7 linked regions of the Cricetulus griseus genome follow. The protein of the gene in region 1 purifies or fractionates together with the protein of each later gene. This does not show direct contact. Links are inferred from orthologs where the notes say so. Each region holds a gene or a part of one and is shown in the gene's direction. Other genes may lie near its edges. The genes, in order: Rbbp4, Nasp, Arid4b, Mtf2, Eed, Hmgxb4 and Sap130.

Region 1 (4,134 bases):
TCTTGACATAACTCAGGCCCACCTGCCCATAGTGGGCTAGGTCCTACATAAGTCAGTAATCAATAAAATACCCACAGAGTTGCCTACAGGCCGGTCTGATGGAGGTAATTCTTCGGTTGATTCAGGTGTGTGTCACCTTCGCAGAAAGACTAACCATGACCAGCACAGGGTTTTTGTTTATTTTCTGTACCTGGTGCCTGGGGAGACCAGAAGAAGAGGGTGTCAGATACACTGGAGCTCCATTTCCAGACAGTTGTGTGCCATCATGTGGGTGCTGGAAACTGAACCCAGGTCCTCTGCAAGAGCAGCAAGTGCTCTTTTGCTCCATCACCTGCTCTTGGCTTTTTAAGGAGTTGTGTCTGTTTGTTTGTTTTTGTTGTTGTTTTGTTTGTTTTTTCCTTAATTTGTTTTGAATTTATGTGTGTGCATATTTTGTCTGTTCGTGTATGTGCAGTGTGCATGGGTTTACTGAAGCCAGAAGATAGCATTGGGTCCCCCTGGGTCTGGATTACAGACAGTTGTGCCTCCGTGTGGGCACTGAGAATTGAACCAGGGCTCTCTGAAACAGCAGCCAGTATTCTTAAGTGCTGGGCCATCTCTAGCCCCAGGGAATCATGTGTGATCTCAGTATTTTCTGGTAGGAATGTATGTAGCCCAGCTGTAGGTGCTTACCTGCATGTGTAAAGCATTAGTTTGGGCAGGTGTTACAGTAAATGAAGCGATTATAAGGACCACATTTCAAACCTCAGCACTGGTATATAATGCCAGGTGGCCATGGCAGCACACCTGTAATTCCGGGAGGCAGAGGCAGAGGCGGTCACTGAAATAAACTAGCTATGCTAGCAAAGCCAGTGAGTTCTGGGTTCAAGGTAGGTTTGTCTTCGGTCTGTCTAGAGGAAAGAGGTCAAGAGACCCATTGTCAAGTTGTGGCTTCTGTTTACAAGCACACATACGTACATACTGGGAGGAAAGAAAGAGAAACCCAACTCTAGATTCTGAGGGGGTCCCTGCAGGTATCCTGGCAGGGAAGTGAACCCAGCAGAGATAAGAATGAAAACTGCAGGTTGACTTGCCAACCTGGATAAGACTTCAAGGAGTCGATTGCCAGGCAGTTCATTATCACCATATTTAAAACAATACAATTGGGGGAAAGTTTCCAGGCAACAATCAGTCCAATTACATGTGCACAATAAAGCATAAAATGTAACTTCATAGAAATTCTTTACAAAGTACATGTGAACATGAAGCTAAACAAAAAGACCTGGAATCTAGTGTGGTCTCTGACCGATAGCATAGAGGTCAGCAGGCCATAAAATACTGGTGACCTGTAGGATGGGTCTGGGGGGGAAAGAGTCTGGAATAATCATTTGGGGATTTAGGGTGAGATCTGTCCCTACAGATAGCAAAAGGGTCATTGTGTCATTAACCTCCACTCTCAGCTTTCTGGACGCAAGTATTGAATTTGTATCTCCTCCATTGAGGAGACACCCCTGTGAGAGTAACATTCCTGGTTCTCATAATGCTTCTCTGTGCCCCCTGCAAGGTTCTAGGGGGAACTACAAAAACAAGAATCATCCCTACTTCCAAAATGTTTGAGGCAGTGTATTCAGTAGCTAGCTCTGTAGACCAGGCTGTCTTAACTTGCAGAGATCCACCTGCCTCTGCCTCTGCCTCCCAAATGCTGGTATCAAAGGTGGGTGCCACCACCACCTACCTAATATTTTTCTTTTAGGGGATATAAGAACTCTTGCACATGACCAGGCACAAACTCTACTATTGGGTTTTATGCCCCAAAGTTCTTGATAAAAACAAAAATATCAGGCAATTGTTTTCTTCTCACCCATTGTTAACTCACTTTATTTCAATAAACTGGGAGAAAAAATTCTCTATCGTGTTTTAAATTTTTGGCCATGTTAAATAAAAATTAAGTTCTGTGCTTGTGCCCTGTCTGGCCTTAATAGAGGGTCATTAAAAGTAGGAAATAAGCCAGGCAGTGGTGGCACATGCCTTTAGTCCCAGCACTTGGGAGGCAGAGGCAGGCGGATCTCTGTGAGTTCGAGACCAGCCTAGTCTACAAGAGCTAGTTCCAGGACAGACTCTAAAGCCACAGAGAGACCCTTCCTCGAAAAACGGAGGGGTAGGGAATAGAGGCTAGCAAGTTGACTAGGTGGGTAAAAGTGCCTATTGCCAAGCTTGACAACTTGAGTCTGGTCACCTGGATCCATGTGATGGAAAGAGAACAGATCCACAAAAGTCTTCATTTGTTTTATGAAGTGTGAGTGTTCAGGGTCTCCTGGAGCTAGAATTTCAGGTGGTTGTGGGTCACTTAGCATAGGAGCTAGGAACTGAATTCAAGTCCTCTGTAAGAGCAGCAAGCACTGTTAATTACTGAACCATCTTTTTGATTGTGTGTTTTTTGTTTTTTAAAGAAAACAGGGACTTTAGTAATGACTCAGTAAATAGGAACATGTAGTCAATCCACAACACCACAAAACAAGACAGACAAGAAAAAAAACAGGGTGGTATATGCTTGAAGCCTCAGTGATGGGGATATAGGAAATAGGATGATCTCTCAGGCTCAACAACCAGCCATGCTTACTTAGTTGCTGAGCTCCAGGCCAATAAAGCAAGCCTTATATTAATGGAGGTGAATAGCCTCTTTTTTGATTTTGCTTTTTCGAGAAAGGGTTTCTCTGTGTAATAGCCCTGGCTGTCCTAGAACTCATGTAGAAACTCCTGCCTCCTGAGTTCTGGGATTAAAAGCCTGCTCCACCACAACCGGCCATGAACAGAATCTTAAGAGTGAGTGACACTTTATTGTTCTCCAGTATCCATTTATATGTATGTCTATTTAAGCACGGGGGGCTGGGTTTTGTTTTTTAAAGTAGGAACTAGTTCTCACTATCTCAATTGAACTGCTTGGGGTTTTTTGTTTGTCATGTGTATGTTGCTGACTTTATGTTATCTTGGGTTGCCAACTTGAATAGTGACCATCTGTTATTACAGGCCTGAAGGAAAAGACTTCAGCATTCACCGGCTTGTCCTGGGAACACATACGTCAGATGAACAAAACCACCTGGTGATAGCCAGTGTCCAGCTTCCGAACGATGATGCTCAGTTTGACGCATCTCACTATGACAGTGAGAAAGGAGGTAGGATAAAAGAAGTAATGGTCTGTGGATTATATGTTTCCTGTCTGAATTGTCATCGAGGAGGTACATAATTGGGCGGGGGTAGCCTCTTAGGTTTAAGTTATTGGGAAAGCTAGTTTGCAATCAAGAGTCATCAACACAAAACTCGGTTCTGTGCTTTTGCTGTAAGCTGTCTCTACTATACTGGTCATGGTGAGATTTCTGCAGTTAATGTAGTAAAGATCTACCATATTTTTTTTGGTGTGTATTCTCAACAGGAGCAACATTGACCCAAAGAGACAGAAATTAATTCATGGGTATGGGTTGGTGTTTTGCCTGCGTGTATGTATGTGCACACCTTGTGTGTCTGATGCCCACATAGGCCAGAAAAGGGTGTTGGATCCTCTGCAGATGGAGTTATAAGCATTTGTGAGCCACCAAGAATTGAACCTGGGTCCTCTGCAAGAGCAGACAGGTGCTCTAAATTGCTGAGCCATCTCAAGGAGGATCACAAGTTACCCGCCAATTTGGGGCTAGTTAGTGATTTCCCTAATTCAAAATAGAAACCATAGTCTGCATGGTCCCCAGAGCTTTCAGTGTATCTGTACTACTGCAGTTTCATTGGGGATAAAGGGGCAGAAAGTCTTAAAACTTTCTTAAAGGTTTAAGATACAAGAAATGACATAGTACCCATTATATTCATAAAAGATTTCAACAACCTAATTCTTAGAAGATGCCATAAGAGTAGCTGTTCATGAATTCCTTTTTTCAGATAGCAATCGGTAAATTTTCTTTATGGCCTTCATACCAAAACGTCAAAAGGGGGGGGGTCAGTAGGGGAGTTTCCTTGAATAAAACCCTGTCTCAGACAAAACAGCAAAAAAAAAAAAAAAAAAAAATGGGCTTCTTTTATTAACATTTGTGCTCCTTATATTCAGTTTTTAATGTTTCTGGATATTAGCAGAAATAACTCTTCATGTTTAAGTTTATTTGGGATCCAGCT
Region 2 (4,908 bases), about 12 Mb from region 1:
TTCCCTCCATCCCTTTCTATTTGAGACAAGGTTTCATTACAATAGCTATGGCCATCCTGGAACTTGATATGAAGACCATGTTGGCCTCATCCTCCCAGGGATAGTCATGCCTCTGCCTCCCCAGTACTGGGATTAAAGAAAGATGTGCCCCTACACCCAACCCTACACCCAATTTCTTAACAGCACACCAGTCAGGATTTAAAACACTTTTTTTTTTTTTTTTTTTTCCCGAGACCAGGCTGGCCTCGAACTCAATGAGATCCGTCTGCCTCTGCCTCCCAAGTGCTGGGATTAAAGGCGTGAGCCACCAACGCCCAGTTTAAAACACATTCTTATGACTTTGTTTTAACTTCGTTTTCTTTTTGAGACAGGGTCTCACTCTATCTCATTCTGGCTGTGTCAGACCCTGTCTCTCTCTCTCTTTTTTTTTTTCGAGACAGGGTTTCTCTGTGGCTTTGGAGGCTGTCCTGGAACTCGCTCTTGTAGACCAGGCTGGTCTCGAACTCACAGAGATCCACCTGCCTCTGCCTCCCGAGTGCTGGGATTAAAGGCGTGTGCCACCAACGCCCGGCCAAACCCTGTCTCAAAACCCCCAGAAACGGGTGTGGTGACACTCAGGTAGCACTTGTGAAGTGGAGGCAGGAGGATCAGGAATGCAAGATCATCCTTGGCTATGTAAAGCTGGAGGCTAGGATCAGCTATATGATACTATCTAAAAAACAAACAAAATCCCAGTGCTCAGGGGGCAGAGGCAGGCAGATCTCTGAATTTGAGGCCAGCCTGGTCTACAGAGCAAGTTCTAGGACAGCTAGGTCTACACAGAGAAACCCTGTCTCAAGAAACAAAACAACAATAAGGGTTCCTGATTTAAATATCTTATCTTGTTTAACATTAAAAAAAATTTAAAAAGCTGGTCAGTGGTGGTGCACATCTTTAATCTCAGCACTTGGGAGGCATAGGTAGGCAGATCTTTGTGAGCCATCAACGCCTGGCTTCCTGTACATAATTTTAAAAATTAAAAATATTTGAGACAGGATCTCATTATGTTTCTTGGTTGTCCTGGAATTCACTATATAAATCAGACTGCCTGGAACTCAGAGATCCCGAATGTCTCTAGAGTGTTGAGACTAAAGGTGTTTGTGACCACACCTGACCTTTTAAACAAGTTATTTTTATTATTATTATTTAGTTTTGTTTTTCAAGAAATGGTTTCTTGCAGGGTGGTGGTGGTGCATGCCTTTAGTCCCAGCACTCGGTAGGCAGAAGCAGGCAGATCTCTATGAGTTACAGGCCAGCTTGATCTAAAAGAGCTAGTTCCAGGACAGCCTCCAAAGCCACAGAGAAACCCTGCCTCAAAAACAAAAACAAAAAAGGTTTCTCGGTGTACTCTGGTTGTCCGGAGTCTAGCTTGGTAGATCAGGCTGGCCTTGAACTCAGGGAGATCCACCTGCCTCTGTCTCCTGAGTGCTGGGATTAAAAGCGTAGGCCACCACGCCCCACCAAAAAAGTTATTTTTAAAAGATTCCACTTTATTTTATATGTGTGAGTGCTTACTTGCATGCATATACGTGAACCATGTGTGTGCCTAGGGCTTCTGGAGGTTAGAGGACGACACTGGATACCCTGGAAGCGGAGTTACTGACAGTTGTAAAATAAGATGGGTATGGTGGAGCTCACTTGTAATTTCAGCACTTGGGAGGCGAATCTCTGTGAGTTAGAGGCCAGCCAGGGACATAGTGTGAGTCCCTTTCATATGTACTAAAGATAGAAGTAAGATAGCTAAAAAATTTAAAGTGTTTTAAGTACAGGGATTCAGCTCAACAACTCAGTGTTGGAATGTGGGTAGGGTGTCAGATGAGGGCGTCACTGGATTGGGCCAGCCAAAGGCGCGTGGATCTAGAGAGAGGAGGAAACATCCCTACTCCTTTGCCCCTCTGAGTTTTGAATCTAGCGCGATAGTTTCATCTGTAGCCAATCGTAGAGCAGCACCTTCTTTCGTCAGTAGTTGCTGAGGCCCAGAGCCACGAGTCTCTCGGGTCAGTTCTAGCCGTTGCTGTTGTACTCGTGCTCGGCTCTTGCGTTTCCATCCGTTAAGACTGAGAGGGCATACAGAAGACCTGTCACCTTCTCGGGTATCCCCGCCAGAAAGAAACCCTCGGCTACTCTTTCCACGCCCGCAGAGACTCACTGGCTCCACTTAACGTGGAGGCTCTGGCTGGCTCCATCAGAAGTTGTAGTGCCAAGATTCTGGTGCTTCTAACACGGCCAGCTACCGGGAGCAGGAAGTTCTTTTGTTGTTCGATTTTCTTTTCTTTCCAAGGAAAAGCGGGCCCGGGCGGGAAGATACCCAAACGGGAAGGGCTGCGGGGAGGTGTCCTTGTGACGGAGAGGTGTTGAGTTCTGGCCCTTTAAACCCAAGGGGGAGGATCCGGAAGTGGATGGGCGGGGCAAGCGGCCCCGATATATAAGAGGGCCCCAACCGCGCGGGGTCTCCAATCTGCCATTTTCTGTGCCTGAGTAAGTCTTTGCTGTCCTGAATTCTCTGTTCTCTCCACAGGCAGTGCTCTGCCCACCGGCCCACCGCGTCAGGGGAACGATGGCCACAGAGTCTACAGCCACTACTGCCGTCGCCGGAGAGCTGGCTTCCGCTGACAAGTAAGCCGGACTGTGGCGAGCGGGAGGCGCTGGCCAGTCCGTGGGGAGAGCTGTGGACTGGCTTCGCGGGCCGGAGGGCGGGCGGGCGGCGGGCCCGGCGGGGGGGTGGGACAGCTGCCTTTCCCTGGAGAACTGCGGCTGTCCGGAGGGAGCGGGGCTGTGGAGAAGCCCCCCCCTCAGGCGGCGCTGGCGACCGGCGCTAACGGCGGGCGGCTGGCGCCCCCTGCCCGGCTTTCCGCGGCCGCCATCTTGCCGGGGGCAGCGGCGGCTGTCTCCATCGCCTGCCCTTTTTCTTCCTCCCCCGGCCCGGGGCTGCCGCCGGTGGGGAGGCGGGGCCCCCCCGTCGCCGGTCCCCTCTTGAGCTCTTACTCTCGGCGCACTAGCGGGAGAGTCTGTAGAGGAATCTAGAAAACGACCAACAGATTTGGCGCCAAAAGAAAAAAAAAAAAAAAAAAACCTACACACGAGGATTGAGGCTCAGACCTGAGGGACCCGAGTGGGCGGGGCCTCGAGGAGGGCGGGACTTTGCACGCGTGCGTTCCGTGTCCCGGCTCTGGAGACGGGGGCGGGGCCTCGAGGAGGCGGGAAAACTCCATTGTTTGGGGTTTGGAGCGGCTCCTGCGGCAGCCGCTGGGCGCAGTGAAGTTTATCTCGTTGACTGTGTAGTTGACTGTAACCCGCGGGGTCGTTACGCGACCGAAGCCCTGCGACTCTCCGCTTTTGCTGAGAACCCTCAGGGTGTCCTTAGACTTTCCGTGTGTGGGTCGGAGATTTGGTTGCTCCAGGGGTCATTTTCACACTGATGGCTTCTTCGGTAAACGCTACACGGAGAATTCCGTACTTGCTAGATGAGTCTGCTAAGATAAAAGGACCCCCCCCCCCCCAAGAGGGAATAATTGCTTTGAGAGCTTCACAGTGCTAATCAAACATGAGCTACTTTTTTGGATAGTGCACAGAAACGGCCCATCATTTGGAGGAAACAAGTTTTCCGTACAGTAGGTCCTACTTTCCAATCTTCCCTTGTCTTTTAGGTGCCTGCTAATATTTTTTTTTTAATTTATTTATTAGTTCTAGTTAGGGAACAAGCTTGTTCACATGTAAATCCCTTCTCTCTCTCCCTCTCCCTCCCCTCACCCCATCCCTCCTCCCCCACCCCCAGCCTACCCCCACTCCATCCACCCACCACTCCCCAGGCAGGGTAGGGCCCTCAACGGGGGGCTCTGCAAAGTCCACCAAATCTTCCTGTGCCTGCTAATATTTTTTTCCGTCCCTGTACATTTTAGAAGTTTTTCCTCTGGTAAAAGTAAAGTTGGCTGTGGGGTTTTTGAGTGTTTTTTTTTTTTTTTTTTTTTTGCTGTAGGTTTAGGCATACTAGTTGACTTTTCAATTAGTACAGTTGTACCAGATATTAACGTATCTTTGCATACTTTACCTGTCACCTTTTGGTTCCTTTTCTAGTGGATTCTTGAAAAGCAGTGTTTCTCAAATCACCAATTTCCTGCCTCCTCATTGATTTCTTAGGGCCAGAGTAGCTTGAGTTAGGAAAATCTGTAGAATTTATTTATTTCAAGACAGGGTTTCTCTGTGTAACAGTCCTAGCTCTCCTGGAATTCTCTTTGTAGATCAGGCTGACCTCAAACTCACTGAGATCCACCTGCCTCTGCCAGTTTGGCCTCGAACTCTGAGATCTGCCAGCCTCTGCCTCCCAAGTGCTGGGATTAAAGGAAGGCCTGTACCACCACAGACCGGCTTTGTTTTTTGTCTATAGTTTTTATTATTATTATTATTATTTTGAGTCAATTAAAAAAATGTTATGGGATTGGAGAGATGGCTTAGCAGTTAAGACCACTGGCTACTCTTCCAGAGGACCTGAGTTCAATTCCAAACAACCACATGGTGGCTCACAGCCATAGTGGGATTTGATGCCCTTTTCTGGCATGCATAAAGTTGTACATACCAGGCTGGTCTCAGAGATTCATCTGTCTTTGCCTTCCCCATGCTGGGATTAAAGACTTGCACCACTACCGACAGGCATATAACGAGGGCTCTTAACTGCTCATCTATCCATCTTCAGTCTCATTAAGTAAATTCTTATTGACTCACATGACTATAGTGTGAAGTCTTAAATTTTTCTACACGTCAGAAAAGTCAAGTTTAGAATGGAGAGATTGTCAAATTATTATTTTGAGTTTTCATTTCTTCAATTTCCATGAAAAATCTTGTCTGTCAGGAAATTGTATAATGAGTTTTTGA
Region 3 (4,134 bases), on another chromosome or scaffold:
AACCTGGAGGATTTATGAGGGTTTGGTTCTGTCAGTAGCTATATTGACCTTAGGACAGTCAATTTGACTCTCTTTGATGTCTTGATTGCATACTCCTATCAGGTTGATTTAAGAGATCTCCAAGAGCCTTTGAAATTGTAAGATGTTGGGACTCAATATTTGAGCTTTCTATTTGAATATAGCATAGTTCCTTCTGAGACATGTAGCTTACATATTTATGCTCATTTCTTTTCATTTTAGATATGATGAATGGATTAAAGCAGATAAAATAGTCAGACCTGCTGACAAAAATGTACCAAAGATAAAACATCGGAAGAAAATAAAGGTAAGCCTTGATTTTACCATGCACCATTAGCTGTTAAGTGCATTTTCCTTCAAAAAAAAAAAAAAAAAAAAAAAAAAAAAAAAAGGCCAATTAAATGCATGTGCTACTCCTGATGTTATCTTCTCTTGAAACGCACTTTTACCAGATGTTAGATTTTGCTCTAATTTTGTCACCTGGTGAAAAGGTTTTAGGAACAGTGCTAACTGATATTGGAGGCCTTTTCATTCTCAACATTGTATAAAACTGTATGACAAAATTTATCCATTTAAACCTTTCCTGTCTCTTGTAGTTCCCAACTAGGAGCCATCATGCATTGCAGGTAGGGGATGTGAGTTGTAAGTAGATGTAAGGTGAGGAGAGGAGATGTCTAAAGATAGAGGAGAGTATCTCTTCATCTATATCTGACTGGCTACTGGGTCAGAATGTTTTCAGCACCCTCTTCACCACACACTGCATAGCTACTATAGTATCTATGTTCTCATATGTGAAACTGTACTACTAACATGATAGGATTATTACTAATTATGAGATAAATATTTTAAATATTTTATTAAAAAACCCGGCCATTAACATCTTTTTCTTTTTGTTTTTTGGTTTTTCGAGACAGGGTTTCTCTGTATTGTTTTGGAGTCTGTCTTGGAACTTGCTCTGTAGACCAGGCTGGCCTTGAACTCACAGAGATCTGCCTGCCTCTGCCTCTGGAGTGCTGAGATTAAAGGCGTGCGCCACCAACGCCCCGCAAAATTTTAATCTTTTTAAGAAGGTTTTTTATACTTTGTGTGTAGTTCACATGCTTAGTAGTGGTTCTGAAGTCTTCTTAGTCCAATGAAACATTGTTATGTTCCTGTTTAGAGACCCCTTGTGGTCTCAGATGCTGAATTTATTTATCTTGTTGGCAATCCTTTTATCACTGTAAACTTGAGTCTAAGTTTCTAGTACAGTACTCCAGTACCTAAAGCTCAGGATTTCTTAAACCCTTTACATTTTTTGTTGGTCCTTATTGGAAAGTATGTAAATTATGCTATATTTAGCATTGTTTTTAGTAACTGGAAGAACATTTGCTAAATGTTTGTTAAAAATTCATGTCTTTGTACAAAGCAAGCTTTGGAATAGCATTGCTGAGTAGATGAGTCAGAGAAACAATGTTTGGGTCATGCACATGAAATGTTCTATGAATGTCTGTCTCTGTCCACTGCTTGGTACTAAACTAAACATGTTAAAATTCTTGGTCATAAGGAAAGAGGCTTGAGAACTATAAGTTTTTTAAAGTTTTATTATGCATTACTCTTTGGTATTGCCCCTCCCTCCCTCCCTCCTTCCCTCCTTCCCTCCTTCTCTCCTTCCCTCCTTCCCTCCTTCCTTCTCCCTCCCTCCCTTCCTCCCTCCCTCCCTCCTCCCTCCCTCCCAGTTTTCTTTAAGAGCCCTTGTTGGAGAAACTCATTTGACAGCCACTAAAAAATATATTTGAACTTAGACTGAAGTGAATTGTTTCAGCCTTTGGTGCACATGGTACATTGTGATTTCTGAGATCAAGTCATGAAATGCTGAAATGATGGGAGTAACAGTAGACATAGGCTGTGGTAGTCTACCTGCCCTTTTAAAGATGTTCTATAAGTTAGGCCCAGTCCCTTGATCCTTATTATTGAAACATGTACCAGATAACATGGAGAACACATTAAAACAGGCTGTCTGGTTCCATTGTCAGCATTTTGATTCATCTTGTTTTTAGGGGTCTGCTTTTCTAGCAAGTTCTCAGAAATTGCTGGCTAAGGACCCCACTTGGAGAACAGCCGCTACCCAAATTTTAACTGTTACATGTAAGGGAGTATTTTTCCCATGTACTATCTTTTAGAGACTTGTGAAAATAATCACTCATGTTTTCAGTCTGTCTATGTAATAGGACTTAAGAATTTTTGTTGCTAAGTCATACTGTGAAGAGCCTAAATTGCAAAACAACAAAAAACATTGCTTATAGGAATTACCTTAGCCTTGACTCATTTGTTTGTTAACTGAGCGTGAGAAAAGTATCAGCCTTTGAGTGAGGTAGGAAGGCTGCCTCTGAGCTCACTTCACAGCCTGTCAATGCATGTAATTTCTCCTGTAAATTTCAAAGTACAGAACTTGGCTATTGTACTTTACAGTGAGAATGTTCAATTTTAATATGAGTGTTGAAATTGAGTGTTTAATTTTATAAATATTAAATTTGGATCTATTATTTAATTTTCAAGAATTTGTAGCAGTTATTAGCAATACTCAGTTCCTACTCTTAGTCATCTTTTCTGTTTGATCCCTACTGCTAGACTGTAAATACAGAACAATTTTTTCATCTCAGTGTTTTCATGAATAACCTAAAATAAACCTGATTATTTTGAAGTTTTTCTTTTTGCATTTTCTGGTATTCTTTCTCAGTTAAACATTTAATAATATTAATAATAATAATAGGCATTTGATGTTTCTTTAAAATAGAATGAATATTGTTACTAATAAGTTGTTCATAATACATTATAGCTAATATCTAATGCTTTACTTACCTAGAATAAATTAGACAAAGAAAAAGACAAAGATGAAAAATACTCTCCAAAGAACTGTAAACTTCGACGTTTGTCAAAACCACCGTTTCAGTCAAATCCATCTCCTGAGATGGTTTCAAAACTAGACCTTGCTGATGCCAAAAACTCCGATACAGCTCATATTAAATCTATAGAAATTACTTCCATTCTTAATGGACTACAAGGTAAATATAACTGTTGCATGCAAGTATTTGATTTTAATTTCTATAAATATTTAAATGAATTTAAATGTGGTTGTGCATGACTGTAATTCCAGTACTCAGAGCTGAGGCAGGGGGATTGAGAGTTGAGGCTAACCTGAGTAATAAATCAAGAGAGTGTCTCAAAAAAATCCACGTATTCCTACCTCCTGCCACCCAGAAAAAATTCCAAAAGTTAAATTCTATAAAAGTAGTTCAGGTTGGTTTTTTGACCAGAATTTGCTGTGTGTGTTATTAGTTGGGCACCTCCAGTGTTGGGTTTCTCTACTTCTTGTCAAACACTGTCCTTTGTGATGCTGTCTAAAACATAGTTGTGCTGTGTATTAAGACTGTAAAGCAATTCTGAAAGTTATTTGTGAAGAACTCATCTGCTTGTTTGTTCTTTTTATGATGCTGTTATGGTAGCACACATGGTAATAGTGAAGCAAATAGTAACAGAGAACTGGGCTGGAGAGATGACTTTGTAGTTAAAAGCACTTGTTGCTCTGGCATAGTCCTGAGTTCAATCTCCAGCCCCCACATGACACCTCATTAACCATCTAGCTCCAGAGTGGAGGGGATCTGACACCCTCTTCTGAACTCCACGGGCATCAGGCAAACGTTTGGTGTGTGTACACACACATACATCCAGGCTAAACATTCATCCATATAAAATACTAAATAAACTATATCTAAAAAGCTTTGAGAATTGGAGATTATTAAATCTGGCATGAAAATGTATTGGAACAGGGATCTGATCTACAAAGTAAATTAATTCCTTTCCCTAAAAATATTTTAAACTGCTCATAACTTAAGTTTTGGTTTTTATTACTTTTGACTATAATAGAAATTAGATTTTCTCCTTTATTTCAGAAGACTGTATATGGATTCATTATATAAGCCTGCTACTATATACTATTCTAAAGTTTGCCTTAAAAGTTTTCTAATGTATCTGACATGTAGACTACTATATGAAAAAATATAGTTTAAAGAACAAGAATTAGACAACTTTAGTCACGAGCAGGTAGCAGTTAATTAGGTGTGCCTCCTCAGGAGTTAT
Region 4 (4,134 bases), on another chromosome or scaffold:
ACAATTTGTCAGATTATGAGTCGTTCTTTTCCTTCACCATGTGGGTTTGGTGGGGTGAAACACTTCCCAGATGAGCCATCTTGTGTCATTCTTTCTGCAGCCCCACTTTTGAGACAGGGTCTCACTAGCTGATCTGGAACTCACTATGTAGAGAGGGCCTTGAGCTTTCAAAGAAAGATGAACCTGGCTTTGCCTCCTATGTGCTGGGCTTAATAGCTTTTCTAGAGATTTGACTGTGGACAGGAAGGAAAAAATAAGGTCAAAGGATAAGTGTAACTATTACTAGGGTTGGGTTCTTGTTACCAAATAAAGTACATCAGCAATTTCAGAAGAAGGGAAGAAACACTAGGAAATGAGAAATTATAAAGTTTGATGTTTTGATCTAAGAATGTGTGCTTTGTAAGAGAAGTAATACAGTGGAGAGTCACAAAAAAGGGAGAGGTTGTGTTGAAATCGTAGAAAAGCATATGAAGATGTCTGGGAATGTTTGCCACTTGGATTGTATGGTTTCCATTCCAGAATTAGGGAACATTCTGCTGACTTACTTTTCATACTTAGTTATGCTATTCAAGTTTGGGTCTGTTACATAAGGGATGCAAGATCCCAGAACTTTAGACATATCCTGGGCTGGCCTCAAACTTCCTGTGTAGTTGAAGGTGACCTTGAACTTCTGATCTTCCAACTTCCACCCTCTCAGTACTGGGATTATAGGTGTATACCTACACGTAGCTTTCTTTTATTTTTGTCTTATGGAGTTGGGGATAGAACTGAGGGCCTTGTTTGTGCTAGGCAAGCACTCTACCAACTGAGCTACATCTCCAGCTCTCTTTGTTGGTTTGAAGATTATCTTTTCCGTTTTTTAGTGACTCTTTACAATGACTATACTTGTATGTTTTGAGTTTCTTGTATACATTAACACTTTCTAGCAATTTAGGAGGAAGATAATCCATTGTTAATTCTTTTTGGACAACTTTTGGTTTTCTTGTTTTTGTTTTTCAAGACAGGGTTACTCTGTGTAATAACCCTAACTGTCCTGGAACTCACTTTGTAGAACAGGCTGGCCTCACATTCACAGAGATCCTCCTGTCTCTGATGGGATTAAAGGTGTGTCTTTCTCATCAACTTTAAAATGTATTTCTTTCATACCAAAACTCTGTACCCATAAACATTTGGTCCTTCCTCCTACCCACAGCCACCACCATTCTACTTGTTATGAGAGTCACTGTTTTATGTACTCATACAACCAGAATTAAACAGTGCTTGTCTGGTTTATCAGGATTGTTTTACTTAGTGTAATGTCTTCAAAATCCCATGCTGTAGCATGGGCATGATTCTCAGAAGTTGTGTCATTTTTAGGCATTGAATATAACTTTCCTTTGTGCTTAGCTACTGAGACTTTCCCCACTTTTGCTTCCTCCTTCCCTCCCTCCTTGAAGTTTTATGCTCTCATATTGTCTGTATAGTTTTACACACCCTTGTATGTTAACCAGTAAAATATTTAAATTGGAACACTGAAGCCAAACACTACTTTGTCCTTTAAGAAAATTTATGTTGGGGCTGGAGACAAGACTCAGCAATTAAGAGCTCTGGCTGCTCTTCCAGAGGACTTCAGTTTGAGTCCTAGCACCTACAAAGTGGCTTACAGCTAGTCCTAGGAGCTCCAACATCCTCTCCTGGTCTCCCGTCACCAGCCACTCATGTGGTGCACAGACATAAATTCAGGCAAAATACACACAAAATATATAAAAATTGATGGTATGTCATACAGTTCACAGAATTACTAATACATAAGCTACAATGATTTTGTAGTTATTATTTGGGATCACTGCTTAAAAAGTAAAATCTCATACATTTCACTTGATGATGACTCTGTGACATCCCAAGTTTCCTATTTGAATTATAATACTCATTTTGTGTATGCTTGTGCCATTGCATGCATGTGTAAGTCAGAACAACTTGCAGGAGTCTGTTCTTTTCCTTCCATGTGAACCCTGGGCATCACATTCGGGTGATCTGGCTTGGTGGCCAGTGCCTCTATCTGCTGAGCTTGTTACTGATTCAGTTGTCACTTTTTAAAAAGAACATTTGTTTTGTTTTTTGTTTTTGTTTTTGTTCTTCGAGGCAGGGTTTCTCTGTGTAGCTTTGGAGGCTGTCCTGGAACTAGTTCTTGTAGACCAGGCTGGCCTCGAACTCAGAGCTCCGCCTGCCTCTGCCTCCAGAATGCTGGGATTAAAGGCATGTACCACCACTGCCCGGCTTTTTAAAAAGAACTCTTTGCTGCTGCTGCTGCTGCTGCTGCTGCTGCTGCTGCTGCTGCTGCTACTACTACTACTATTAGTTTTTGAGACAGAGTTTCCCTGTGTAGCCTTTGCTCTCCTGGAACTCTCTGTAGATCAGGCTGGCACCAAACTCAGAGATCTGCTTGTCTCTGCCTCCTAAGTGCTGGGATTAAAGGCCTGTGTCACCATTGCCTGACTAAAACAAAACAAAGCAAAACTGTTTTAAGTCTGTATATTTAGATTGGTATATCCTCCCCTCTTCCAACAAGAACAGTTCTGTAGTGATTCTCACAGAGGGATCACTCCTGCCATGAATGAGAGCATTGTCATCTACCCCAGAACTGCCTCTGCCTCCCGAGTGCTGGGATTAAAGGAGTGTGTCACCAAGGCCCGGCAGGGTTCCAGCTATGTACCTCAAGTTGTCCTGGAACTTCTAAGTAACCTATGCCAGCCTGGAACTTTTGTGCTCTGCCTCCCAAATGTTGATATTACAGGCTTATACCACCGTACCCAGCTGTTTTCTGCTGTTGTTTTTGAGATAGTCACCCTAATATGTTTAGGTGAAATGACTGCTGAATCCTGGCTTCACTTAGGGTTGGCAATGAGCAAATATTATGAATTAATGCTCTTTGGTTTAGAATGCATTTGTCATTTGAGTTATTTGTTTTTCTCAAAGGTTTTATACTAAAAGTTTTGGTTAGTGTATGAAATATGTCATTGTTATAAACTCTTATAAGTCTTATATTTGGTCCTTTATTTTCTGAATAGAGACTCTACAGGAGCAGGTAACTCACTGGTCCACAAGCGGTCTCCTTTACGTCGAAACCAAAAGACCCCAGCATCCTTGAACAAGCTGTCTTTACAGGATGGACATAAAGCCAAAAAGCCAGCATGTAAATTCGAAGAGGGTCAGGATGTCCTAGCTAGATGGTCAGATGGCTTGTTTTATCTTGGAACTATCAAAAAGGCAAGTTACTGTAATAGATCTCTGCTGTATTTGCAATATACTTTTTAGTAATTTAAAATTTAATCTTGTGCTTATAGTTTTAAGAGATTACTGAGTTCTTTCTCTGTATTGCAGATAAACATACTGAAACAGAGCTGCTTCATCATATTTGAGGACAGTTCTAAATCCTGGGTTCTCTGGAAGGACATCCAAACAGGCAGGTGCTACTGTTTCTCTTGAACATTGCGTGCGCGTGCGTGCGTGCGTGCGTGCGTGCGTGCGTGCGTGCGTGCGTGCGTGCGTGCGTGCGTGTAAATAAATTTAACTTTATTCAACATGGCATTTTCTGGTGCTAAAGAAATTGAATACACTCTTTCTGTGACTCAGTAGCATGTATGAGGAGAGGTCTAAACATGTCAATATGCAGAATTATTCCGCTTTCCATGTTTTATAAACAAAGCTCTATAGCTTTAATTGAATCCTTTTGTTGTTGTTGTTTTTGTTTTTCAGAGAGACAGGGTTTCTCTGTGTAGCTTTGTAGACCAGGCTGGCCTTGAACTCTCAGAGATCCGCCTGCCTCTGCCTCCCGAGTGTTGGGATTAAAGGCGTGCGCCACCACTGCCCAGCTGAAGCAAATATTTGATGGGTATTTTTAAGATTTATTATTTATTTGAGAGAGTGTGTGTGTGTGTGTGTGTATAACATGGGTGCATGTGCCCACAGAGTCCAGAAGAGGTTGTTTGGATGTCAGCAAGCCCCAGTGATTCTCCTGTCTCTGCATACACCACCCTCAGCTGGGCTTACAAGTATTTGTGGGAATGCCTGTGATTCCTGGGATCTGAACTCATACTTGTGGTTGAGAGCAAGTGTTCTTAACCACTGAGCTGTCTCTCCTGCCTAACATTTTGG
Region 5 (4,134 bases), on another chromosome or scaffold:
TTTAAACTTGTAACATTTTAAATTTCTATAGAAACTAATTGTTAACATTTAATTTCAACTCAAGTATTTATTAAGCACCTACTTTGTGGGAGTACTTCATTTCTTGTTTATTTTTTTTTAATTTTTTTTCTGGTTTATGTTTTTATTAGTCTCACAGCTTCAAAGTCATGATGGCTATTCTCCTGCCTCAGCATTCCGAATACTGGGATCATAGGCATGAAACACTATGCTTAAACTTCATTTCTTTTTTCTGGTGTTGATAATATGTTCTAGAATAGTGTATTTTCTTAAAAGGCATTTCATTTTGGACCAATGTAAAGTTTTAAAACCTTAAGAACTAATGTTTTTAAGTGAAGTAGTGTTTTAAAATACCCTTTGACACTTCATTTTTAACTTTTTATAAATGGAACAATCTTTAGTAAGCTTTACCCTAGAAATAGATTGTATACAAATGCAGTGTAGACTTAGTGGACTTCAACCTCACAGCTGTTAGACACACTGACAAAAGGGTTCCTTTGGAGGATTTCTGGATTACTGCCCCAGGGTAATAGGTGGGGATCTTTGTATTCCAGAGAAGACTTAAGTATGGGTTCTGAACTGAAGATAAGTTAGAAGAATTTTCTGTATTTCCTGAAACCTTATCTATGTTTAAACAGATTACCGTGTACAGAGTTTAGATATGCGCATAGTAGTATTCAAACTGAATCAAATTGCATTTACACATAGTATGGACTAGGTGGGACTTCTTTAAAATTCTAAATCTGTTGTGTTATAAATAAATAGAATTTGCATGACAGATTTTGTTTTTCAAAACGGCATCTAAAATAGTAAGCATTAGCATCCCTGCCCCAAAAGGCCATGTGTCTACACTCATTCTTCCACTTTCGAGGTAGTCAATTAAATTTTGAAGGTAACCAGATTTATTGGATTTATTCTGTTATTTTATGTGCTAGTGAAGTATTGGATCCTAGTAACTGTACCAGCAAGAGGACAGTTTTACTCAACATTTCCTTGTCTGGTAGTGGCTTTTCCACAGAGCTGTGTAAGAGTGAATGATGAATTATATTAGTGTCACTGGTATAGGCCAGTGTCTTATTTAAAGCCCAAATTACTCTTTCATTATCTTTCTTAGTACCTTGTTTTTACTTTCACTGCAGTATAAAATATCCACAAGTGGTCTAATGCATAACTGGGTTTTACTTCTTAAAATCCCCAGCTGCAGGAGTATGTGTCCCATTTTTTGCATGCTTTTAAGTTAGTCATTATCTTTTTAGTAGTACAGTCAGTTACTTTTAAATACTGTGTGCATCTATATCTGTCTGATGAAGTTGTTCCTGATTTTACTGGTTGCAGGATGATGCTGTCAGTATCGAGAGTGGCACAAACACAGAACGCCCTGATACGCCTACAAATACACCGAATGCACCGGGAAGGAAAAGCTGGGGGAAGGGAAAATGGAAGTCAAAGAAATGCAAATATTCTTTCAAATGTGTGAACAGCCTCAAGGTTTGTACCTAAAGCACTAGGCTTCGAACTTCTAAGGGACATACAGAATACCCTAAGGTTTAAAATATTTTAAAATTACAGTATTTTAAAGGTTTGTTTAAACTGGATATTACAATCTATCATACATTTAGTCATTTGAGCTTTATTTATTGTGTGCTTCACTTTAAATGTGTAATACTGAGTTGTAGGCTGGTGTTACTACCTCCCCCCACCCCCCCTGTTATATAGTCCTAGCTATTCTGGAACTGGAACTCTCTGTAGACCAGGCTGGCCTTGAACTCAGAGATTAAAGATTTGGGCCACCACTGCCATGCAAGCCTGGATTTTTAAGAGATAAGAAAATGAAAGCTAGAAGACTTTAAAAGTGGGGGGAAAGTACTTTCACGGGAACTTGAAAGTCAGTGTTAAACACAAGGAGATTGCAACAAGGCTCTAAGTCTGAACTGCAACTTGGAAAACAAAAGTGAACAACCCTGTACTGTGCTTGTCTACTATGCAGTTTAAGTCCTGGTTTTAGTACAAGCACTAAAAATAAAACAAAAGAAACAAAAGTATCTTACAGATTGCTTTCCCTTTGTGTATCTGAAGGCATAGTTCATTCCCTCCCTGAGTCCTCACTGTTCAGTCTTGAGAGGATGACACTTTCCTATGATCCAAATCCAAGGTGGAGTTTTTTATGTTGTTTTCTTTTGAGACAAGCCTTCTGTGTAGCTCTGACTGTCCTGGAATTCTGTAGACCAGGCTGACCTCCAACTTAGAGATGCACCTGCCTCTACCTCCCGAGTGCTGGGAGGGATTAAAGGTGTATGTCACCACTGCCTGGTATGAATCTAAAGTTATTTAAAGATTTCACAAGATAATGTAAATGTGTTTGTATAGGACTAATAAGAGTAGTGGCTCGGATGGAGGGTGATATGTCCCACTTTCCAAGGGAAAAGTTAATTCTAATAAAATCCAAAGCCAGTTGTTTGTTATATGAGAGAAATAACCGTGTCCTCTGGGCTCAAGAGCTTAAAGTGTATCTACCAAAAGTTCTCAATTTATTATGATTCAGAAAGATGGTTGGATTTAAAAACAGGCAGAAACCAGGGTTCCCAGGATACCTATCTGTTTCCTAACTTATGGTGTGCATCTTTGTTAGGAAACATTCACATATTTTTAAGATGTGGACACTTGTGTAGTGTCTTCATTTTAATGTCATAAGTAGCATGTGCATGATATATGTCTTAGTTTTGTATTGCTGTGAAGAGACATCATGACACCTTGTTTTTAAAAAAAAGCATTTAATTGGGACTTGCTTACAGTTTCAGAGGTTTAGTCCATTATTGTTATGTCTGGATACATGGTGGCATGCAGGCAGACCTGGTGCTGGAGAGGTAGCTGAGAGTTCTGCATCTGGATTCACTGGGAGGAGCAAGAACACTGGGCCTGGCATGAGCTTTTGAAACCTCAGGGCCCACCCCCTCCAGTGTCTTACTGCCTCTAAAAAGCCAAACCCCTAATCCTTTCAAATAGTGCTATTCGCTAAGCATTCAAATATATGACCCTATAGGTTTATTCTTATTCAAACTACCACCGTATATAAGAAGTGGACTTAATTTGGGGAGGGGAAAGTAAAAGTTGGCTAATGTTTTTGAAAATATGTTAAAGTTTTCTTATTTCATGATTTTCTAGGAAGATCATAACCAGCCATTGTTTGGAGTTCAGTTTAACTGGCACAGTAAGGAAGGAGATCCTCTGGTGTTTGCAACTGTGGGAAGCAACAGAGTGAGTGTTAGGGGGGCAGGTTGGCAATTGTGATTATTTCGCATGTTACAATTAAAATATTGAAATGGAGTGATTTTAAAGTAAATTCTGAATAGCTGGCTTACCAGTATAATTCTTTTGTGTAAGAGTGAAGCTTTTGAGGAATGGTCAGGGTTAAGACTAATACGACTAGAAAATACATTTTTATTTACATTTGTTATGAAGCAGGCTTTGAATCGCAAGAAGAATTGACTTATATTTACCATTCAAATATGAAAGCTGTACTTTTATTTTTAAAGTTTCATTTTATGTGTGTCAGTAGGCTGCCTGCATGTTTATCTGTGCTCTGTGTGCATGCATTGCTAGGGGTAATCATTTCATGGTACTGAAGATGTTTTGTTACAAATTTAATTAAAGAAGAATAAACCGTAATTATTTTAAAGTTTTAACTTTACTCACTTTGGAAAAGTTCTGATTATATGGATGAAATGTATATTTAAATGTTTGGAAATAGAAACTACTATTGCCAGGCTAGTATCACATAGAAGGTGTGAGGATTTATAATGGTTTGGATAAGCTTACAGAGCTGCTGCAAGCAGTTTTTGTAATGTCACTAAGTTGTAATTTTGGCTAGAATGTTTTAAGAGTCAGAGAATGTTTCTTTCTCTGAAATGATATGCATATTTTTGTTTCTTTAGGTTACCTTATATGAGTGCCATTCACAAGGGGAAATCCGGTTATTGCAGTCCTATGTAGATGCTGATGTATCCTTCTCTCGCTGCTTTTGTATGGTTTAAAACATTGAGTTTGATAAGTACACTAAAACTTTTTTTTTTCCCGAGACGGGGTTTCCTCTGTGTAGCTCTGTAGACCGGGCTTGCC
Region 6 (4,134 bases), on another chromosome or scaffold:
CATCATTTTTTACTAGTGAAAAGGTTGCCATTGTTCATTTGTTTGAGACAGGGTCTCCCTAAATAGCCCTGGCTGCCCTGGAACTCACTATGTTGACCAGGCTAGCCACAAATGCAGAGATCCACTTGCCTCTCCCTTCTTGAGTGCTGGAATTAAAATCATGCATGACCTGGTGAAAATATCATTCCCAGTGATCCACCTTCACTCCCCTTTAAGTCAGCACCACTGGGTAGGAAGTGAAGAACAGTTTCTAATTAAGAAATATAGTAATTTAAGGCTGAAACAGGAAAAACTGATGACATGATACATACATACATACATACACACACACACACACACACACACACACACACACACACACACACACACACACACACATCCTAACATTCTACATGAGGTCTCTCCCTACATCCTCACCCTTTATTGCATGAGAAGGCCCTTTGAGCAAGTTGTGTGCCAGCTCTCTTTAAATAATCCACTTCATGTTGTTTATTTACTTCACTCTGGCTTCCCTTACCTGAAGCAAATTCATTCTTCATTTTGTGTTTTGTATTTATTAGACTTAGAAACCTTGGCATTGCTTTTTTTTGTGTTTTCAGCTTTGGCCTACCTGTGCACTATATTTATGTGGCTTTTAAACAACAACAAAAAAGTCTTTTTTGTTGTTGTTTTTGAGATGGTGTTCTCACTTTGGAGCCCTGGTTGTCCTGGGTCATGTAGACCAGACTGGCCTGGAATTTACAGAGAACAACCAAACTTTGCCTCCAGAGTGCTGGGATTAAAGGCATTCACCACCATGCCTCACTAAAAATTTTGAACTGTTAAATTTTTAAATTTTAAATTTTAAAACTTTCCCCTGTTAACCCAGGGGCCCCCCACCCCCAAATATATTTCATTTTCTCCATACCTATCTGCAGGACTTAGAAATGTGTAATCTTAAATAATGAGTAATTCTAAGCATTTGACTAACTAAATGAAAACATTTTCAAAATAGTTATTTTAAATATTCTGCAAAGAAGTGAGTTCTGAGCCAACCATAGCTACATAGTGAAATCCTGTCTCAAACAAACAAACAAAAGAAGAAGAAAAATTCTTCAAAGACTTTCTGTCCTTAGGGTAATTTAAGAATTTTACTTTACAGTGCAGTATGTAACTCTGTCACCTTCAAAGTCACTATGGACACCTGAACTTGAATGCCCCAAAATGCTTTATAGCAGTGATTTTCAACCTTCCTAATGCTTTGACAGTTCCTCATGTGGTAGTAAAATAACTTTATAACTATAAAATTAGTTTTGTTGCTACTTCATAACTAATTTTGCTACTGAAATGAATCCTAATGTAAATGGTTGTGTTTTCCGATGGTCTTATATGACCCTTGTAAAAGTTGTGTGACCCTCAAAGGGGTCACAACCCATAGGTTAAGGATCCCAGCACTCAGGAGACAGAGGCAGGCAGATCTCTGAGTTCTCGCCCAGCCTGGTCTATAAAGCAAGTTCTAGGACAGCCAGGACCGTTACACAGAAAAGCCCCGTCTACACAAACAAAACAAAAAAAGAAAGTAAAGAAAGGAAGAAGGAAGGGAAGGAAGGAAGGAAGAAAGAAAGAAAGAAAGAAAGAAAGAAAGAAAGAAAGAAAGAAAGAAAGAAAAAAAGAAAGAAAACCCAACAAAGAACCACTACTTTGGTTCTACAATACTTAGAACTATATAACATGACACCTGCCTTTAATCCCAGCGCTCAGGAGGCAAAGGCAGGTGGATCTCTATAAATTCCAGACCTGTCTGGTCTATATAGTGAGTTCTAGGCCAGCCAGGGCTACACAGGGAGACCCTGTGTCAAAAAACAAAACCCAGTACTTAGAACTTTTAAATTATATTACTTATAAATTAGTGAAAAATCTTAACATAATTTCATCATCAGTGGATAAATGGCATTTCTTTTAAAAAGGCTTGTTAGTGTTGGAAGTTTTCATATAGCCAACAAATTTGAGAAGTATGCCCATGTCCATTTTAGTGAGCTTGAACAAGTTCATAAAGCCCAGCAGAATGCAAGGCTTTAAAATTATTAATATCTGTATAGGTACTGTTTAAGTTATGACACAGCAAATTCTATTGGCTCACCAGTCTCTTCAGTAGGATTTTGTGGTCTTCCGGTATTTGGTGTACTCTGTCCTCCTCTGCATCTGGCTTTATCTGTGTATCCTGTGACCATGGTTGAACCCATGCCTCTGACTTAACGTCAGTTTCTACCCTGTCTCAGTGTCATTAGTCCTGTTGGCATTCCAGAAATTCTCATTAATTTTGGAAGTTTTTTTAAATCTAAGAAGTGTTTTCTATAATTCTTCAAGTGTCAACTTTTAATACATGAATTAAATCCAGTTAAGCTTAGCAGTCTCCCTGCAAGGTCAACTCCAGTATATGCACGGACTGAGGAGGTGACAAGATACTCCTGTGTTCCTTCCAGTCAGCCCTTGGATTACTTGGAATTTCCACCTGGAAGGTTGCTTCTCCACAGTGATTTCACATTACAGGAAGGTTTTCCTTCTTTGTTTCTCAGACCTGGTCCTGTAGACGGGAAGGAGCCTGGACACAGTGACCCAACACATTCACAAAGGCCCTGCAGGACCACCATGGCTTATGATGACTCCATGAAGAAAGAAGGTATGACCCCTTACTCAGAAGCATCCCAAAGGGCATAACCTCTGCAGTCCCTGGATGTAGAGACCAAGACTGGGTACCACAGCCTAGACCAAGTGATGCTCCATCATTCCCAGACTGGGCCCATGGAAATGAAAACCAGGACAGGGGTTCCTACACCAGAGTCTGAAATAAGAATCTTTTAGTTTATTGGGGTGATCCCCACAGCACTCTTAGTCCTTGCCAGCTCCAGTGTGCATGAGTCTGGGACTAGGAACCTCTCTCACATTGGACTCCCACAGCACAGCACATGAATTCTTACACTTTCCAGCCTTCCCTCGCAAGTCTGTGTCTACCTGCTAAATCACTCACTACTAAGAAACCATATCTGAGGATGCACATTGGGCATTTGCATAGCATGGAAGCATTGTGTTTTCGGGTTTGAGTCTTGTGTTTGAAGCCGGGTCATCAGAAGTCGTCTTGGCCCTCTGAGTTTAGCCCTGCATTTCAGAGGACTCACTGAGTGTAACTTTAACTTGGAAATGGGACTGTTGTGTTTACTTGTTGCTTATGTACTTTAGTCATTTCCATCCCTAAATGAATTTGTGCTTCCCAGATTGCTTTGATGGTGATCACAGCTTTGAAGACATAGGACTTGCAGCTGGTCGAAGCCAACGAGAAAAGAAGCGGTCTTACAAAGATTTCTTAAGGGAAGAGGAAGAAGTTGCTGCACAGGTCAGGAGTTCCTCCAAGAAGAAGTCAAAGGTCAGTTCCAGATGTCTTTCAAAGCCAGGATCCCAGGAGAGCAGCCCCAAACCGTTACCTCATCATCTTATTGCTGGCCAATTCTCCCTCTCTAACCACAGGACAGTGAGTTGTTCTTCCTGGGGACGGACACACACAAGAAGAAGAGGAAGCACTGCCCTGATGATTACTGTTATGGAGGTGAGAATGGGAGCGGGCTGCAGGTGGGATGTGCACATCTCTGGTTCTTGGAGTCGGGGTATGGGAAGGGATCCCAGATATTGCTGACTCAGTGGCCTATTTAACAGGACAGTGGTTCTTGTTCTGAGTGCCGATAAACCAGTGTGAAGGAGGAGAGAGGTGGAGGGCTGGTATTTTGGAGGATTCAGCATAGAAGAACAGTCTTCATTTGTGATACACAAGGTACCAGGTTCCTTCCTCCCTGAATCATCCACTTATCTGTGCCATTGTTACTTAGCATCCCTTTGCCAGATGCAGTCCTTGGGCCCTCTGCATATCTGTGGGGCATTTCTCAGCCAGCATATATCCACTCACAAAACCTGTTTTCTTAGCTATGCTCTACATGTAGCTGAGGAGACTAACCTCTCACTAGAATGAGTTTGTCCTCAGCACAAGAACCAATGACCCTCCATCTGCAATCTAATCTAGATTGCAATTACCCTTAATCCCACAGCTCTATTCCAAGTATGCTCTCTCTGTCTCTTGTGAAGACCTAAGGAAGAGAATGAGCTTTA
Region 7 (4,134 bases), about 180 Mb from region 1:
CTTCACAGTTGCCAAATGCTGCTACAGCACAGCCAGCAGTACAGCACCTCATTCACCAGCCAATCCAGGCATGTTGGGGTCGGGGTACTTGGCCAGCATGGCTGTGGTGTTTTACCATTTACTCTGCCGGACACTGAGGGAGCCCATAACCCTATAACTGAGTTACTACTCAAGGCTTTGGAGAGTTTGAAGGATGCCTGAACAGTGCAGGGATAATAATAATTTGTTGGGAAAGTAGCAAGTGAGACAACAGGTGCTAGAAAAATAAAGACGGCCATGCACAGTAGCAAGGAAGACAGACAGTGGTGGCTATAGATAGTGTTTGGTGAGGGCTAGCTAAGATGGAGGATTGTTATTTGGAAAGAGCTCTGTGAACACCTCAAATTTTTATGTACATTTTATGCATATAAATGTATGCCTGTCGGGTTGTGGTGACGAATGCCTTTAGTCCCAGCACTCAGAAGGCAGAGGCAGGTGGATCTCTGTGAGTTCGAGGCCAGCCTGGTATAGAGAGAGAGCTCCAGGACAGCCAGAGTTACACAGAGAAACAGGAAGTGTAAAACAGTACTTTTTGAAGGATGGGCAGGATGTGGTGATTTAATTGCATCTATGAAAGTCAGGAAAAGGGGTGAATCAGGACTCAGGTGATAGGAATAGGTATAGTGGACAAATGATCGGTGCCATTTGGGGGGCTCCTTTTTCACGTTTTACACACAGATGTAGTAATAAAGGTTAGGACTAAATATTTGTATGAAAATGTAGAAAGCGCCTGAACACCTGACATTGCCCCCCTTTGAACACCTTGACTCTGGCCAGCATAGAAGTCTGTCATCCCCTTGCCCTTTGTATCCTAGTTTAGACTGAGAGCCAGCAACTCCAGCCAATAGCTTCATGGGCCCTCTGTGGAAAACACTTGGATATATGACATTTTGAATGTCCACTCTGCACCATAGTAAACCACGAGAATGCTGAGCAAAACAGTTAAATCCTAGTTTACACTAGGACAGTACTTTTACTATAGTTGTATTAAAAAGTCTTAGACTATCCAAACAAGATAGGAATTTTTGTTTATATTGGAACAGTCTCATTATGTACTCTTGGGTGGCCTCAATTCTTTACATAAAGCAGGCTGGCCTCAAACTCACAAAGATCCACCTGCCTCTGCTTTCTGAGTGCTGGGACTAAAGACTTGTACCACCACACCCAGTATGAAATAAGAATTTTCCCTACCTTTTTAGCAGTGCTGGGAATCGAACCCAGACCCTTGTATTTGCCTGTCTTCCACTCAGCTGCATGTGTCCTGCTCTGACATCTATTTCCCCCACCGCCACCCCCACCCCTTTGTTTCTTGGTATATGTGAGGTAGTGTAGGTAGCCCAGGCTTAGCTCACATTTTCTTGGGGGGGGGGCAGGTTGTGTGTGTGTGTAATTCTGACCTGTCTTATAACATACCTAGAAAAACCATTAGGGTGCTAAGGACTTGGTTCCATCTAGTCACAGACCTACTCATCTGGAGGCCTGAGTTTCAAAATGGAGTTTTAGTATTTGGTTTGGTGTTGTTACTTTGCTTTTTGCTTTAATTGAAGTATTTTTTCTCTCCCCTATAGTCTCGCCCACCTGTGACCACCTCCAGTACAATCCCTCCTGCTGTGGTAGCAACAGTCTCAGCCACCAGAGCTCAGTCTCCTGTCATCACTACGACAGCAGCACATGCTGCTGACTCAGCACTAAGGTATCCGGGCCATCCTGCTGTTTCCCTCTTTACCTCAAATGAGTTTTCTAAATTGTACTCTAGATCAGGGCTTCTTAAACTTTTATCATCCAAGAGATTTTCACATGACCCTGGATATATAGGTATATAAAATAAGTACAGAAACCAAACACTTACTAGTAATAAATCCTAACAAAATGTCTTTTAAGGTGCTAGAGAGATAGTTCAGCAGTTAAGAGTACTTGTTGCAAATGAATGAGTGAATGCTTGTTGTGCTTCAGAAGACCTTAGTATAGTTCCCAGTACCCACATTGGACAGCTCACAACCACCTCTAACTCCATCTCTCCAGAGCCTAGTGTATACACACACACAATAAATCTTTTCTCTTTTTTCTTTTCTTTTGGTTTTTTCGAGACAGGCCCTGGAACTCTGTTGACCAGGCTGGCCTTTAACTCATATAGATATGCCTGCCTTTGCCTCCTGAGTGCTAGGATTAAATGATGCATGTGCTGCCATCACCACCTGGCAATAAAAATAAATCTTAAAGACAAAAGTGAACTGATTTTACCATTTACTAAAGAATTGTGCTTGTTTATCTTTACATAAGGAATTACATCTTGGCCCAGCACATCTTTGACTGGCAGCATCTTCAGCATTTTACAGACTTGGTTGATACTTTGATTTTATAATTGTCAATGCTGAGAGTGCCACTTTATATAATATAAATATGCAGAATGACAGAAGTATATTTAGGGCCATTTGCAAAACTGTTGGAAATTCTATCCTAATCCCAAAATTTATGGCCATAATTCATTTTGGTTTTGGTTTTTAGATTTTTTTGTTTGTTTGTTTCATGGATATGAATGTTTATATGTGCACCATATGCGTACCTGATGTTTGCGGTGGTTAGAAGAGGGCATTAGATCTCCTGGAACCAGAGTTATGGATAGTTGTGAGGTACCATGAGGATCCTGGGAACTGAACCTTGGTCTTTTGCAAGAACAGGCAGAATTCTCAATGGCTGGGCTATCTTGCCAGCCCCTTTATTTGTTTTTAAATAACATATAAAGGCCGGGCGTTGGTGGCACACACCTTTAGTCCCAGCACTTGGGAGGCAGAGGCAGGTGGATCTCTGTGAGTTTGAGACCAGCCTGGTCTACAAGAGCTAGTTCCAGGACAGCCTCCAAAGCCACAGAGAAACCCTGTCTCGAAAAACCAAAAACCAAACAAACAAACAAACAAATAAATAACATATAAGGTAATAGCTTGTCTTATGGCTTTTCCCACACACAATTCATGTATATGTGCACACATGCACATTTGTGAATGAATGGGTGAGTATACACCGCAGCATATATAGAGATATTTTCTTCTCGGTATATACCAGACCAGCTGGCCCATGATCTTCTAGCAGTTCTGCTGTCTCTGTCTCCATCTCTGTAGAAGCACTGAGTTACAGATGGCCAGGCTACATCTGCTTTTTTGTGGGTTCTGGGGATTCAAACTCAGCTTCTCGTGCTTACACAACTTGTGCTTTTTCACAGAACTATCTCCCTAGCGCCTTAGTTTGGTTTTGATCTTCCTTATTCTTCTCCCCTGTCCTCCCTTCCTACTTACATCTTCTGTCCCTTTTAGTTTCCTTTCCACATTAAATCACGCCTATGCTATTATCCTTCCTCACTCTACTTTCAAGACCTATCATTCATTCATATATATATCAAGGATCTGTAATTGGGAATGTACTGTCATTTTGAGTGATCCATCTTGAATGGGAGAACAGAAGCAGTGGCCAAGAAAGTTACATAGAACACTGGGTCTTTTAGAAATTTCCTCTTACCTCAGTGTATTGCCTTGACTATAAAAAGAACAAATCACAAATGATTTGTTCCAATCAAAATTAAACTCAAATCAGACATGATGCCTCCCACCATGACCACAGCTCTTCCAAAGGACGGGAGTGGGATTATTATCATTATGCATGTCAGGTGGGTCACACCTGCTGTAACTCCACTGAACAATCAGACCACTCAGAATGGAAAAACGCCCCTCTCCTCTGGGGTGTAGCATGTTCCCTGTGGGACTCTACTAACCCATACTACAGTTCCTAGTTTAACCCTAAATCCTTTGCTTCTAACCCTTGGAACTAGTCCAGATCCTGTTTCACTGCTAACACTGATTTCACCAGCACAAAGCAGTCAGGAGGCTGAGGCAGGAGGATAGTAATTTCAAAGCTAGCTTGGGTTATATAACATGTTTTAAGCCAGCTGAGCTGCATAGTTAGACCCAATCTCAAACAAAAGAAATTTTATTTTCCTTTGCCACGGGGGGGGGGGGGGGTTGACCACTTTATTATTTAATAATAAAATATTAGAGAACTTGGCAAGTTATGGTTCCTACCTGTATGGCTCCACTTGATGCCTCT

The links.
Region 2: the proteins of Rbbp4 (region 1) and Nasp purify together in Homo sapiens (co-immunoprecipitation; 4 studies listed by BioGRID and IntAct, counting the BioPlex papers as one, with this or other methods). This does not show direct contact. The link is inferred for Cricetulus griseus from reciprocal best matches to the Homo sapiens genes RBBP4 and NASP.
Region 3: the proteins of Rbbp4 (region 1) and Arid4b purify together in Homo sapiens (affinity purification with mass spectrometry; 5 studies listed by BioGRID and IntAct, with this or other methods). This does not show direct contact. The link is inferred for Cricetulus griseus from reciprocal best matches to the Homo sapiens genes RBBP4 and ARID4B.
Region 4: the proteins of Rbbp4 (region 1) and Mtf2 purify together in Homo sapiens (affinity purification with mass spectrometry; 4 studies listed by BioGRID and IntAct, with this or other methods). This does not show direct contact. The link is inferred for Cricetulus griseus from reciprocal best matches to the Homo sapiens genes RBBP4 and MTF2.
Region 5: the proteins of Rbbp4 (region 1) and Eed purify together in Homo sapiens (affinity purification with mass spectrometry; 10 studies listed by BioGRID and IntAct, with this or other methods). This does not show direct contact. The link is inferred for Cricetulus griseus from reciprocal best matches to the Homo sapiens genes RBBP4 and EED.
Region 6: the proteins of Rbbp4 (region 1) and Hmgxb4 purify together in Homo sapiens (affinity purification with mass spectrometry; 4 studies listed by BioGRID and IntAct, with this or other methods). This does not show direct contact. The link is inferred for Cricetulus griseus from reciprocal best matches to the Homo sapiens genes RBBP4 and HMGXB4.
Region 7: the proteins of Rbbp4 (region 1) and Sap130 purify together in Homo sapiens (co-immunoprecipitation; 3 studies listed by BioGRID and IntAct, with this or other methods). This does not show direct contact. The link is inferred for Cricetulus griseus from reciprocal best matches to the Homo sapiens genes RBBP4 and SAP130.

The regions. Positions count from the first base shown.
Region 1 is NC_048595.1:23,704,290-23,708,423, forward strand, and holds part of Rbbp4 (histone-binding protein RBBP4), read left to right. Parts: intron 1-3,006; coding exon 3,007-3,152; intron 3,153-4,134. UniProt on the Homo sapiens protein: Core histone-binding subunit that may target chromatin assembly factors, chromatin remodeling factors and histone deacetylases to their histone substrates in a manner that is regulated by nucleosomal DNA.
Region 2 is NC_048595.1:35,762,767-35,767,674, forward strand, and holds the start of Nasp (nuclear autoantigenic sperm protein), read left to right. Parts: upstream 1-2,009; 5' UTR 2,010-2,132; intron 2,133-2,483; exon of another isoform or gene 2,484-2,557; 5' UTR 2,558-2,596; coding exon 2,597-2,655; intron 2,656-4,908. UniProt on the Homo sapiens protein: Component of the histone chaperone network. Binds and stabilizes histone H3-H4 not bound to chromatin to maintain a soluble reservoir and modulate degradation by chaperone-mediated autophagy.
Region 3 is NC_048596.1:237,301,814-237,305,947, forward strand, and holds part of Arid4b (AT-rich interactive domain-containing protein 4B), read left to right. Parts: intron 1-240; coding exon 241-325; intron 326-2,860; coding exon 2,861-3,059; intron 3,060-4,134. UniProt on the Homo sapiens protein: Acts as a transcriptional repressor. May function in the assembly and/or enzymatic activity of the Sin3A corepressor complex or in mediating interactions between the complex and other regulatory complexes.
Region 4 is NC_048600.1:2,837,421-2,841,554, forward strand, and holds part of Mtf2 (metal-response element-binding transcription factor 2), read left to right. Parts: intron 1-3,047; coding exon 3,048-3,246; intron 3,247-3,360; coding exon 3,361-3,442; exon of another isoform or gene 3,443-3,446; intron 3,447-4,134. UniProt on the Homo sapiens protein: Polycomb group (PcG) protein that specifically binds histone H3 trimethylated at 'Lys-36' (H3K36me3) and recruits the PRC2 complex, thus enhancing PRC2 H3K27me3 methylation activity.
Region 5 is NC_048596.1:109,135,943-109,140,076, forward strand, and holds part of Eed (polycomb protein EED), read left to right. Parts: intron 1-1,353; coding exon 1,354-1,506; intron 1,507-3,180; coding exon 3,181-3,273; intron 3,274-3,950; coding exon 3,951-4,016; intron 4,017-4,134. UniProt on the Homo sapiens protein: Polycomb group (PcG) protein. Component of the PRC2/EED-EZH2 complex, which methylates 'Lys-9' and 'Lys-27' of histone H3, leading to transcriptional repression of the affected target gene.
Region 6 is NC_048596.1:150,764,835-150,768,968, forward strand, and holds part of Hmgxb4 (HMG domain-containing protein 4), read left to right. Parts: intron 1-2,555; 5' UTR 2,556-2,628; coding exon 2,629-2,659; intron 2,660-3,251; coding exon 3,252-3,400; intron 3,401-3,501; coding exon 3,502-3,580; intron 3,581-3,687; exon of another isoform or gene 3,688-3,802; intron 3,803-4,134. UniProt on the Homo sapiens protein: Negatively regulates Wnt/beta-catenin signaling during development.
Region 7 is NC_048595.1:205,692,091-205,696,224, reverse strand, and holds part of Sap130 (histone deacetylase complex subunit SAP130), read left to right. Parts: coding exon 1-68; intron 69-1,607; coding exon 1,608-1,732; intron 1,733-4,134. UniProt on the Homo sapiens protein: Acts as a transcriptional repressor. May function in the assembly and/or enzymatic activity of the mSin3A corepressor complex or in mediating interactions between the complex and other regulatory complexes.